Linked DNA regions of Macaca mulatta. The protein of the gene in region 1 purifies or fractionates together with the protein of each later gene. This does not show direct contact. Links are inferred from orthologs where the notes say so. Each region holds a gene or a part of one and is shown on either strand. Other genes may lie near its edges.

What was found.
Region 2: the proteins of USP49 (region 1) and CETN3 purify together in Homo sapiens (affinity purification with mass spectrometry; 4 studies listed by BioGRID and IntAct, with this or other methods). This does not show direct contact. The link is inferred for Macaca mulatta from reciprocal best matches to the Homo sapiens genes USP49 and CETN3.

Annotation. Positions count from the first base shown.
Region 1 is NC_133409.1:140,370,609-140,376,128, reverse strand, and holds part of USP49 (ubiquitin carboxyl-terminal hydrolase 49), read right to left. Parts: intron 4,301-5,520; coding exon 4,096-4,300; intron 298-4,095; coding exon 189-297; intron 1-188. UniProt on the Homo sapiens protein: Deubiquitinase that plays a role in several cellular processes including transcriptional regulation, cell cycle progression or innate immunity.
Region 2 is NC_133411.1:96,787,512-96,793,031, forward strand, and holds part of CETN3 (centrin-3), read right to left. Parts: coding exon 5,427-5,520; intron 3,520-5,426; coding exon 3,405-3,519; intron 1-3,404. UniProt on the Homo sapiens protein: Plays a fundamental role in microtubule-organizing center structure and function. As a component of the TREX-2 complex, involved in the export of mRNAs to the cytoplasm through the nuclear pores.

The DNA of each region.
Region 1 (5,520 bases):
GTCCTGCTGGGCTCCCACATTAATTTGCCTTAGTGGATGTGAATGATTTAATCTCCATGGAAAACACAAGGTCTCAAGTGAACAGGCTTCCCCTCCCAACACCATAGAAGACATTTGCCCTCACCAAAGCCTTTGGAGCAGCTATTCCCACAGCTCTCACCCAGCTAGGACTCCCACAGCAAGCTCACCTGAATCTTTTAAGGTGCAGCCGGAGAACCTGAGGTAGTCTGTAGATCATTAACTGCTTTCTAGCTTCACTCAGAACAAGGGGTTTGGGATTGGATTTTCGTCGTTTGCCTATGTGGTTTGGGAAGGTATAAGACATAGGTTGTGAAGAGTTTTTTCTAGCTATGGCAGAGACAGTGACTTGCCATTCAATATGCATTCTCCATATTTCTAAGTACCTGAACCTCAATTTTTTGGGGAGTGCAATGTGACCCCCTTTATGACTGCATTTCCCGGCTTCACAAGCCTGCATGGTGTGGCCATGGAAGTTCTGGCTAAGATGAAAGGAATGACTGTATGGGACTCTGCTTATACAAGGCTGACTCACTTGTAAGGTGCATCCCTTTGGCCTTCCCACTATCTGAAACTACTGGAATTCCTCCTGGACCAAAAGGTAACTTTGAAGACAGAAGTCTTGCAACAGGATAGTAAAACAGAAAGACAGAAATAGCTTGGGTCAATGATGACCATGCAGCCACCATGCTGGCCCTGAATGTCCTTCAGACTTGTTTTATGTAACAGAAAAATAATACCTCTCATTTTAAGTCACTGTTATTTGGGTCGACTGTTACAAGCAACTCAAATCTTTCCAATTTTTGCCATCAGGAACTTTGCGTATAATGGAATATAATGGAACGTGCAACAGCAAGCACACAGAGTAGAAGCATATGTTAAGGCTCCATGTCTTTACAATGGCTTATAACTTCAATTATGATACCCCACAATATGATTTTAAGAAGCTTTTTGTTTGCACTAGGTAAGCCTAATTCTACTTCCTGCTCACAACTAGTTGTGTGCTAATGGATAAGTTACTCAAAACTCTGAACCTCCGTTTCCTCACCAGTAAAATAGGGAATAATGCATATATTTCAGGCTTAGGAAAAAAAGGATAAGATTACTAAATGATAGAGTATTTAAACACATTTTTCTTTAGCATGATTTGCTTATGGCATATTCAAACATTTAGAAAATAAACTGTTAGTTCTATATTTTTATGCTGTGCCTAGTTTTTGAAACATATTTCCTAGATAAAAGCACATTGCTGGACATACAAGGACAAAGCTGACAGGTGGCTAAATTCATCTACTCCAAAGCAGAACTAGTGATCAGTCTCTAATTTTGTTTCTAAATGTGGGGGAAATGCATTTCTTGAACTGCTGGCCTCAAGCAGTCCTCCCACCTTGGCCTCCCAAAGTGTTGGGATTGTGGGTGTGAGCCCACTGTGCCCAGCCTTTAGGAAATGCATTTCTAAATTTCAGCAAATAAACAATGGAAACAGAGTTATCTTAGTTTCTATCAGAAGCCTTTCCTGTAACCATTTACTGATGGCTGTTTTGTTATATTAAACTGGTAAATGGATGAGAGTAGAAAATTAGTGTTCTATGGCAGTCTCTGCTAATTGTCTTGAGCTGTTGATATCATGGGCTCAGTGTCTGAAGAGCTGGGCATCTGATTCCCAGTCCTGTCTGTACTACTCATGAAAGGTAGCAAATCACAGCCAGATGATGTATCACAGAGCTTTCTGTGACAATAGGATGTGGAGGTGTAGCTTCTCATAATAGACTGCATCAGAATGAGTTGTGCCATAGGAGAAGCTTTTACCAGGGTGTGTAGTCACAATATGTGCTGGCATGAACAGAAATGGAATTCAAAGAGGGGCTTGGCCTTATTTTATATTCCTATTCACCATTTTTTTGAAAATTACTGCAGCTCTGGCTAGGAACCCTGGCAGTGACTACCACCCTCAGCAGAGGGAGTATGTGAGCTAAGATGAAGACAATATAGAGTCAGGCTTTGTTTCCCTAAAATGAAATTCACAAAGAAAAATAAATTACTGATTCAATTGAGATTGATCAGTTCTGTCTCCATTTCATTAAGCTGTCCAGGAAGACAGGTAGAAGACTGACAGTTTTGAAACTTCACAGGCAACAGATCAATGCATCTCATCTCCTCACCATAGGTTTCCTTCTCTGGCATTATTTGCACTTGCCTAGAGAAATCCTGATAAATTGGCACATCTGACAACCAAAGAACAATCCTTTCTTGTAAAGATAAACCAAAGTTATTTCTTGCCTAATCTATCATATCCAAAAATGATGGAGTTAAAGCTGTTAATATTCTTTTGTTCATTACAAGTAAAAGGCTTCAGGAATCATTGGGTTTTTTTGTTTTTTGTTTTTTTTTAATATTACTCTAATGAAACAATTTGATTCACCTGACTCTGTATCTCAAAATGGAACAGGATAGGTGAGTCTACAGTTAGCCAGGTATAAAATTTCAAATTTTCTTTTGAAATGGCAAAATGATATCGAGCATAACTTTGTGGGTTGTTTTTTTTTTTTTCTTTTTTTCCTAAAAGAGGTCTTGCTGTGCTACTCAGGCTGGTCTCAAACTCCTGGCTTCAGGCAATCCTCCTGCCTTGGCCTCCCAAAGTGTTGGGATTACAGGTATGAGCCACTGCACCTGGCCTCAAGCCTGACTTTTGATTTTTGTTCTGATTCTTCAAAGAGTGGAACAGGTTTCCCACAATTTAGCTTTTTTTTTTTTTTTTTTTTGAGACAGCATCTGGCTCTGTCGCCCAGGCTGGAGTGCAATGGCGCCCACCTTAGGGCCTCCCAAAGTGCTGGGATTACAGGCATAAGCCACTGCGCCTGGCCTAACATTTTTTTTTCTTCAAAACTGGTAATCTAAACTATTATGTGACTGAAAATGGATTTCTAGGTCTCTGTACAATCCATTAACTTTATACTTTTAGTTTCCAAATCTATATATGCCACAACCCTCAAACATAAGCATCCACATATTTGCTCTGCATTTCGTCTGTCCATACTGGGTTAGCAGAAGCATTAAGTGTTAGTGTGGCAAGATGGAAGGGCCCTGTATAACACGCCTCTGTAACCATATGTAAAGAGTTCCATTTTAAAATTACAGACAACACAGAAATACTTCCTTATGACCCTCTCTGAAATGTGAACTTTTCAGGCATGTGAAGAATAAAAAAAATGCAGAAAATATTTCATGAAGCTGCCACTGAGCAATGTACCTTAAGACTTACTTTCTTGGTTCCACTGTACCAATCTTTAGCATCACTTTTGACAGACATTAAGTCTGCCAGTTCATTACAAAAGCATGCTTTTCTGATATCGCATCCCTCAGAAAGGCTATTCCATCTGGGTTTAGATTAAGTAAGAACTGTTGGACTCTACATTCATTAATTTACGCAGCAGCCCCATAGCACTAATAAGCTAAGTACTAACATTCCAGAGTCCCCATTTCAGGAGCCACACTTTAAAATCCCTTCCAAGATGACAACTAATGTCAATCAGGAGGTCAATCAACTCCTAGGTCTTTGTTTCATTTTTTGTTATTGTTGTTGTTGTTTTTTGAAACAGAGTCTCACTCTGTTGCCCAGGCTAGAGTGCAATGGCCTGATCTCGGCTCACTGCAGCCTCCACTTCCCGGGTTCAACCAATTCTCCTGCCTCAGCTTCCCGAGTAGCTGGGATTACAGGCACCTGCCACCACGCCCAGCTAATTTTTGTATTTTTAGTAGAGACGGGGTTTCACCATGTTGGTCAGGCTGGTCTCAAACTCCTGACCTCAAGTGATCCGCCTGCCTCAGCCTCCCAAAGTTCTGGGATTACAGACACGAGCCACCACGCCCAGCCTTGTTTTGTTTTTTAATACATAATTAAAACAAGTCCATGTTTTTTGATTTTTAGAAAAATGGGAGGAAGAGATCTTTAAAAGATGCTTTAGAACCATTCAATATCATTAGTGTTACTTTTGACTAAAGAGGACAAAGCAGCACGTTAAACTGATATTCCAGTTATACTTCCCCACTACGCCCCCTCCTCCACACAGCACTCACTGTTACACTGGTCACAAGCGTAGATTCTTCCTTCCAGGGCCTCTGTCTCTGTGAACTTGGCCAGCATCTCAGTGAGCAAGCACTCTGTCTGATTCAAAGGGACAAACCCCTTTTCTATGCAGTGATAGCGTTCAGGGAATTCCAGGGATAGGTCCCAAAAGGGCTCAATGGTATTAGATTTGTAATTGCATGATATACATGTGACCTAGAATGAAAAGATTGATTTACAGATTATGTAACTTCCATGCTTCCTGCGTACAGTTTTACTTGCTTCATAAAAGACACACTTTATCAAAACTAAGTGTATAATTTTCAAAAAATAGTAATATTAAAATAATAAACATAACTTTAAAAGAATTAGAGTATATTACTTCTGATGTACATTTCTAACTATGGGATGCTAGCTGGAATTTAAAAACCATACTGCATAGAGACTATACCAACCCACCTTTCTCCTCTCCCAAAATATGCTCTAACATTCAACAGTACAGTAGCACAGACTGCAAGTTATTATGCAGTCTCTCAAGGGATCAGTCTGATATAGAGAATCTGCAGGTCCCTGCCTACTTCCCTCACTCTGTAATTCCTCCTCTTGACTTTAGACCTTCCATAGAGCCCAGCACACCTCTCTTTTTGCCTTTGTTACTTGCAGAAGCCCTACACTGAACCCCTCTGTCTGCACAGCCTCAAAATGCTGTGATTAGACCTCCATTCCCACTATAACCTTCCCAGGTGCACCTTCCTAAGGGGAGGGGAGACAGAAGAAGTGCTAATAAATACTCCCCTTTTACATGCTCAAAAACAAAAACCTAATTAAATTTTCCCTTTCCATACCATTCATCATTCTTTCAAAACCCTAAAAACCAAGACACAAGCACAGTGTAGAGGTTTTACCTGAATCTCTTAAGTTGCCCACCAATCCGCCCCCCAACACATTTTTTTTTGGTTTTTTTTTTTTTTGAGACAAAGTCTCCATCTATCACCCAGGCTGGAGTGCAATGGCGCGATCTCGGCTCACTGCAACCTCCGCCTCCTGGGTTCAAGCAATTCTCCTGCCTCAGCCTCCCAAGTGGCCGGGATTACAGGCATGCACCACCACGCCCGGCTAATTTTGTATTTTTAGTAGAGACGGGGTTTCACCATGTTGGCCAGGCTGGTCTCTAACTCCTGACCTCAGGTGATCCACCCCCCTTGGCCTCCTGAAGTGCTGTGATTACAGGCGTGAGCCACCGCGCCCGTCTTTTTTTTTTTTTCAAACTATAAGAATACTCTTTCTGCATATTCTCATAAGGCCTTATCTCAGAATCTTTGCTTAGGTTACATGGCTAAAGATCCAGGAAATGTAATGGGGAACAGGAAGGAGGCTTGCATTGGTCTTTAGCATGCTCCTAGCTATCTTCCTTCCTTGTATGTAAAGAAGGGAGA
Region 2 (5,520 bases), on another chromosome or scaffold:
TCAACTCCTGGGCTCAAGCAATTTTTCCACCTCAGCCTCCAAAGCAGCTGGGACTACAGGCATGTGCCATCACATCTGGCTAATTTTTTTTTTTTTTTTTTGTAGAGACAGGATCTCACTTTGTTGCCCCGGCTGGTCTCAAACTCCTGTGAGCAAGCAATCCTCCCGCCCTGACCTCCCAAAGTGCTGGGATTACAGGCATGAGCCACCAAGCCTAGCCTCTTTTTTATTCTTAAATGTATTTTCTTTTCACGCTCGCCATCCTCAGCATAAAAAATAGTATTTTCTGTCTGCAGTCTCTCTTCCTTCCAATGCATCATCAATAATACTCTCATCAGTTTTCTTTCTCAAATATATCATATCCTCTTCCCTTAAAAATTGTGAATGATCCTCTGCTAACTAAAATTCAAAATCTTTTAAGTTTCGCAAGACTTTACCAGTCTGGCCCAATCCTACACTTCCAGCTATTTCCCTATCGTCTAGCCCAGAACACTATCTAGTTTCCCAAACATGCTATGCTTCTAGTACCATTCTTTGTTGTTGCTGCTTTCTAAGCCTAGAATGCTTTTTCTCTACTCTTCCTGGCAATCTTGGAATGAAATCCTCCTCACGTTTCCAAAGGCCTAAATTTAAAATCTCCTCTGCAAAGTCTTCAATTCCTCTATATCAGGGATTAACAAATCTTTCCTGTAAAAGGCCAGACAGTAAATACTTTAGGCTTTGTAGAGGGGCATAAAGTCTCTACTCACTCTGCCATAGCAGCACAAAAGCTGCATAAAAGAATGGGTGTGGTGGTGTACAAGCAGCAGCTGAATTTGGTCCAAAGGCTATAATTGCTGACTTCTGTCCTAGACAAAATTACAATTTACCACATAGTACTATAGCCTGTTGTCACCTATATGTACACTGTAAACTCCCTGAAAGAAGAACCTCTTAGTAACTTTTAATTACGTCTTCTTCCCAACCCCAGTACAGTACCTAATACCAAAAAATTCAGTGTTAAATAAGCAAAATGAAGACAATAATACACTATTATAATCTGAATCAGCAATAAGTAGTATATGTCAAAAATAGTGTACAAACGTTTGACTTATGTTGGTGTTAAAGACAGAATTCCTAAAACATCTATGTTACTCACTAGCCTCAGGTTGTCTTGACTCTAAACTTACATTAAATATATTTTAAAGCTTTTTTCCAGTACTAGGAAGAATCTATAATAGTTAACTGCCAAACTTCATCCAGATATATCTGTGGAACAGTATCCTTGAGTAGTTCATAAAACTAGGACTCAAATGTTAAGATTTAGAATCATTTGTCCCAAAGTACAAAACATATTAATCTGTGGTCAGTGATTAGTTAAAAATAATCAACAAAAGGGGAAATACATAGTTCTTGACTGATTCCCAAACAGTAATAAATTTTTATTTTACACCTGGTACTCTCCATAGGTAGCCTTAAGATAGCTAAGATAGGTGTTGACCCTGTCAAAAGGTTAATCTTTGAGTGTCAAAGCTGAAGTTTAGCCACATCTATTTATTCTAAAGGAACCCAGTATTTCTGCTCTGTTAATAACATAGAACAGATAGGGCATCAGGAAAAAGTGGAGGTGGCATGGGATTCTGGTCCCAACTGCCAATAAAAAATCACAATTTCAAAATTGTATTCATTTAAGATGAAATAAAATATTTTGTAAAATTATTAGTGATGATATAGTGTTTACAATAGCCTTTATGAAAAAAAGTCAATAAAAAGTATACACAGAGTCTATTTTATGTCCCAGTGATGCATATATGATTATTTTGAGCCCCTGAAACAGAGACAATTTTTTAAAGTAATAATAATAACAAATGCTTAGTAGCACTTACAACATGCTAGGCCCTTTTCTAGGTACTTTACATGTTATTAACTTAATCCTCAGAAGAATCTCATGAGAGAGTACAATGATCCCCACCTTATAGTTGAAAATGAGGCACAGGGTATTAAAAAGACCAAGTTCCAGAGCTATAAAGTGGCAAAACCAAGGTATGAACCAACAGAATCTGGTTCCAAGTGCTAAACCACTATACTGTACTAAACATACCTGGATTATAGCTCCTTCCTAATAGTATCATTTCCACTGTATCCTAACATCTTGTTTCTACAAATAAACAATCTAAGGTAAAACTAGGAATACTACGATTATAAACTTCAGGAGAGTGTCCATTCTGGGAGAACAAAAGGTGGCTCTCTCCTTCTCCTCAAATAAAAAATTCTACAAATTAGAGGAAAAAAGGAAAATGTCCCCAACAGACAAGTTGCCTCTCTAAACAGTCATATATTAGTTCGTAAGTTGAGTATCTTCTGTGCTGTATTTTTTCTCTTAGGTTTATCATTTATTTTCCATCTCAACTGCTTTTGACTTGAGCGTTTGGATTCAAAAAACTAATGACATGAATCTAAATTTTCTCTGCGTATACTAATTGCCATTTCTTTTTGCTTCCCATATTGCTTCTTGATGAATATTTAAAAGAAGGGGTTTGTGTATATAACAGAATTTGTTTCCAAATATCTTAAAATACTTATATGATGTGCTTATATCGTGACCCATTGGTTTAGGGGGAAAAAAATAGAAATAAACCTGAATATTTATATATTTTGTAGGTAATATCCTAGACAATAGTAACGCCCTTGCCTTCCAGACTCTTCTATTTTGAAAAAGCCTGCTCTATGTATGCTATAAATAATTCACTAAAATCAACTACACAAAAATTTAGCCATATTAAGCCTATGACATATTATCTTCAGTTGGTGGTACCAGGATGTTTTCTCCTGCTTGCAGTATGCCCACTGCCTCCTTTACTACTACCCTCTAAACAGATGACTTTATCCACTAAGATCAAGGTCATCCAGAGGATGTAGCCTCTCATAAACTTTGTCAACCTGAAGTCACGCATTTCATCTACGGCCAAAGATACCAACTACTACCAGTTCCCTCTTCTCCCACTTAGCCAGCAAAAATCACATACCAGAAAGGTCTTGGGAAACATTTTCCAAACAGCAGGATATCAAATTTTCTGTTTTACTGAGCAAAAATAATTTTTTGATCACCCTTCAAGTTTTATCACATAATATAAATACAAATAACTTGGAAAAGCATCTTTCCATAAAAAGCTACACAGTAGTTCCTTGGCTAGAATCTTCACAACAAAACAAAAGACAAAACTATAAATCTCAGAGCAAAGCCATATTTTTTCTTTGAAAATGAAAAAAGTAAAATAACCCAAACAAAACTGAGTAAGAGTCACATTATACACCAGTGTTCTATAAGAAAATTCCATAACCTAGAGAATTTAAAATTTAAAAAGTCATATTAATCAGACAATTTCCTAACAGCTGCTGATTACAAAGACTATTAAAATACACACCAACTTCATTAAAATCTTCAAAGGTGATTTTCCCTGTGGCTTCTCTGTCATAATCTTTAAGAATCTTCAGTACATCAGCTTTTTTTACATCAAACCCCAAGGCTCTCATTGCCACCTTTTGGATTAAAAGGGAAAAGCAAATTATAAAGCAATCTTTACAAAAGAATTTCTAATTATTAAGTTTTTACATCTTAAGAGATAAAAACACATTAGTAAAATATAACTTTTTTGCATGTTTTACCTCTTTAAAATAGCAGTGACAGTGTAATTGTTCTTCACTACTGAAATTATGTATAAGTTTTTTCATTTATAAATTGCATTTTTATATGACAAAGTAACCAACAAGTGTTTACTATATAAAATGCACTAACTTACTGCACAGATAATTTGACTGCTATTTGTTATCACGGGATTAACAACCAAAATGAGAAAAAGGCATAGCATAAATATTAAAGTTATATGATAGAAGAGATAAAACATTAAAATAAGAATTATCATCAGTATCTCCATGATTAGTTATTAGGTTAATAATAGGGCGAAGGACCCTGAGTTTAGACAAAAAAGAGACTTTGTTACTAGTAACAAGGAAGGAAACATGTTACTGACTAGATAAGTCTTATTTGGAAAGATTCAAGTTGTTCCTTGAAGGACAGATGAAGAGGAGCAGTAGGGCATTTGGGAAGGATGACTAGTATTAAAAGAAACACTGAAATGAACAATAGGTTTGAAGGACAACGAACAGAGCAGTTTACCTCACCTGAATTAGAAGAGTTCAGGTGAGATAAACTGCTCACCTGGATTAGAAGGTGAATTCCACGTGAATTAGAAGAGTTTGGGAGGAAGAAAGCAGTTAGCAAATGAAAAAAGTAGTTGGTGGCAAAAGTGTAGAGAACATTCAGTAGAAAGCAAAGGAATCTGAACTTTAAGTAGTATATAATGAGGAGTTATTAATAGTAAAGGCTTATGAGCAACGAACAATTTATAAGCAATGGTGAAAGATTTTTTAAACTATCTAAATTCAGTGGTAGTAGTATACAAGGTGAACTACAAGTAGACAAACCATTTAGGAAGCTCCAGGTATGAAATAAGGTCTGAAACCAGTCAATGGTTACTAATGGAAGAGACACTATAAAGGAAGAATTGATCAAATCTGGGTAACCAAAACCAAAAAACAAAAACAAAAAACAGTGGGAAAAGAGAGCTAAAGAGGACTGCAAGATTGAGAAAGCTAGACTTACAGGCCTATTAATTGTTTTTATACATTCTATACTGTTACTGCATAGTTCGTATCCCTACTTGGAATTCTAATGCTTAAAAATCCCTTAAGAAATTACAAAAATTAAAACTATCAAATAAACACTTACATTCACCTATCCATTAAGGCTATTAAAAATCTCAAAATACTATCTTTCCCACTGTGCTGAAAGTAAGTCCCATTCTACCCTAAACCCAAATCTCTCCTTATACCCTGACAAATAATAATTTACAAATCCCTCTCTACACCTTGACATTCTAGGTCTTAAAGTTGACATTTTTACCTACAAGCATGTGTCAACATCAAACAGCACTGAAGTTGTTTGTACCACAGAAAGTGGATTGAGACTATGTTACTAACAAATACAAATTATAAGATTAAAAGACAACAATCCCACAATCTGAAAACAGTATGAGTCACCAAGAAACAAAAACAAAAACAAAAAAAACAGTGAAAAGAATATGGTAATAGTTTAAATTCCAGTTTGAAATCCTTTAATTATGTCAGTGAAAAATAAGCACCTTCCCTAGGAATGTATTGTTACATTTAAAATGCTATTCGTTTTATCACGTGAAAAAGATTTTCTAAAAACTGTGTTAGGAGTTCTATTCAGTATTATTATAGAATCTAACTATGAATGCTTAAAATGCCTTCATAGTTCCAAAACCAATTTAGTTAAAATAATTACTTAGAAATGTAATGTAAAGCAACTGTCAAAATGCAAATCATTTTAACACAGAAACAAGTATTTTAAAGTATACCATTACCTTTAATTCATGATAATCTATTGCTTCATCTTTGTCTGTATCAAATAGTTCAAAAGCATCTTTAATTTCTTGTTTCTGTTCCTCAGACAGTTCT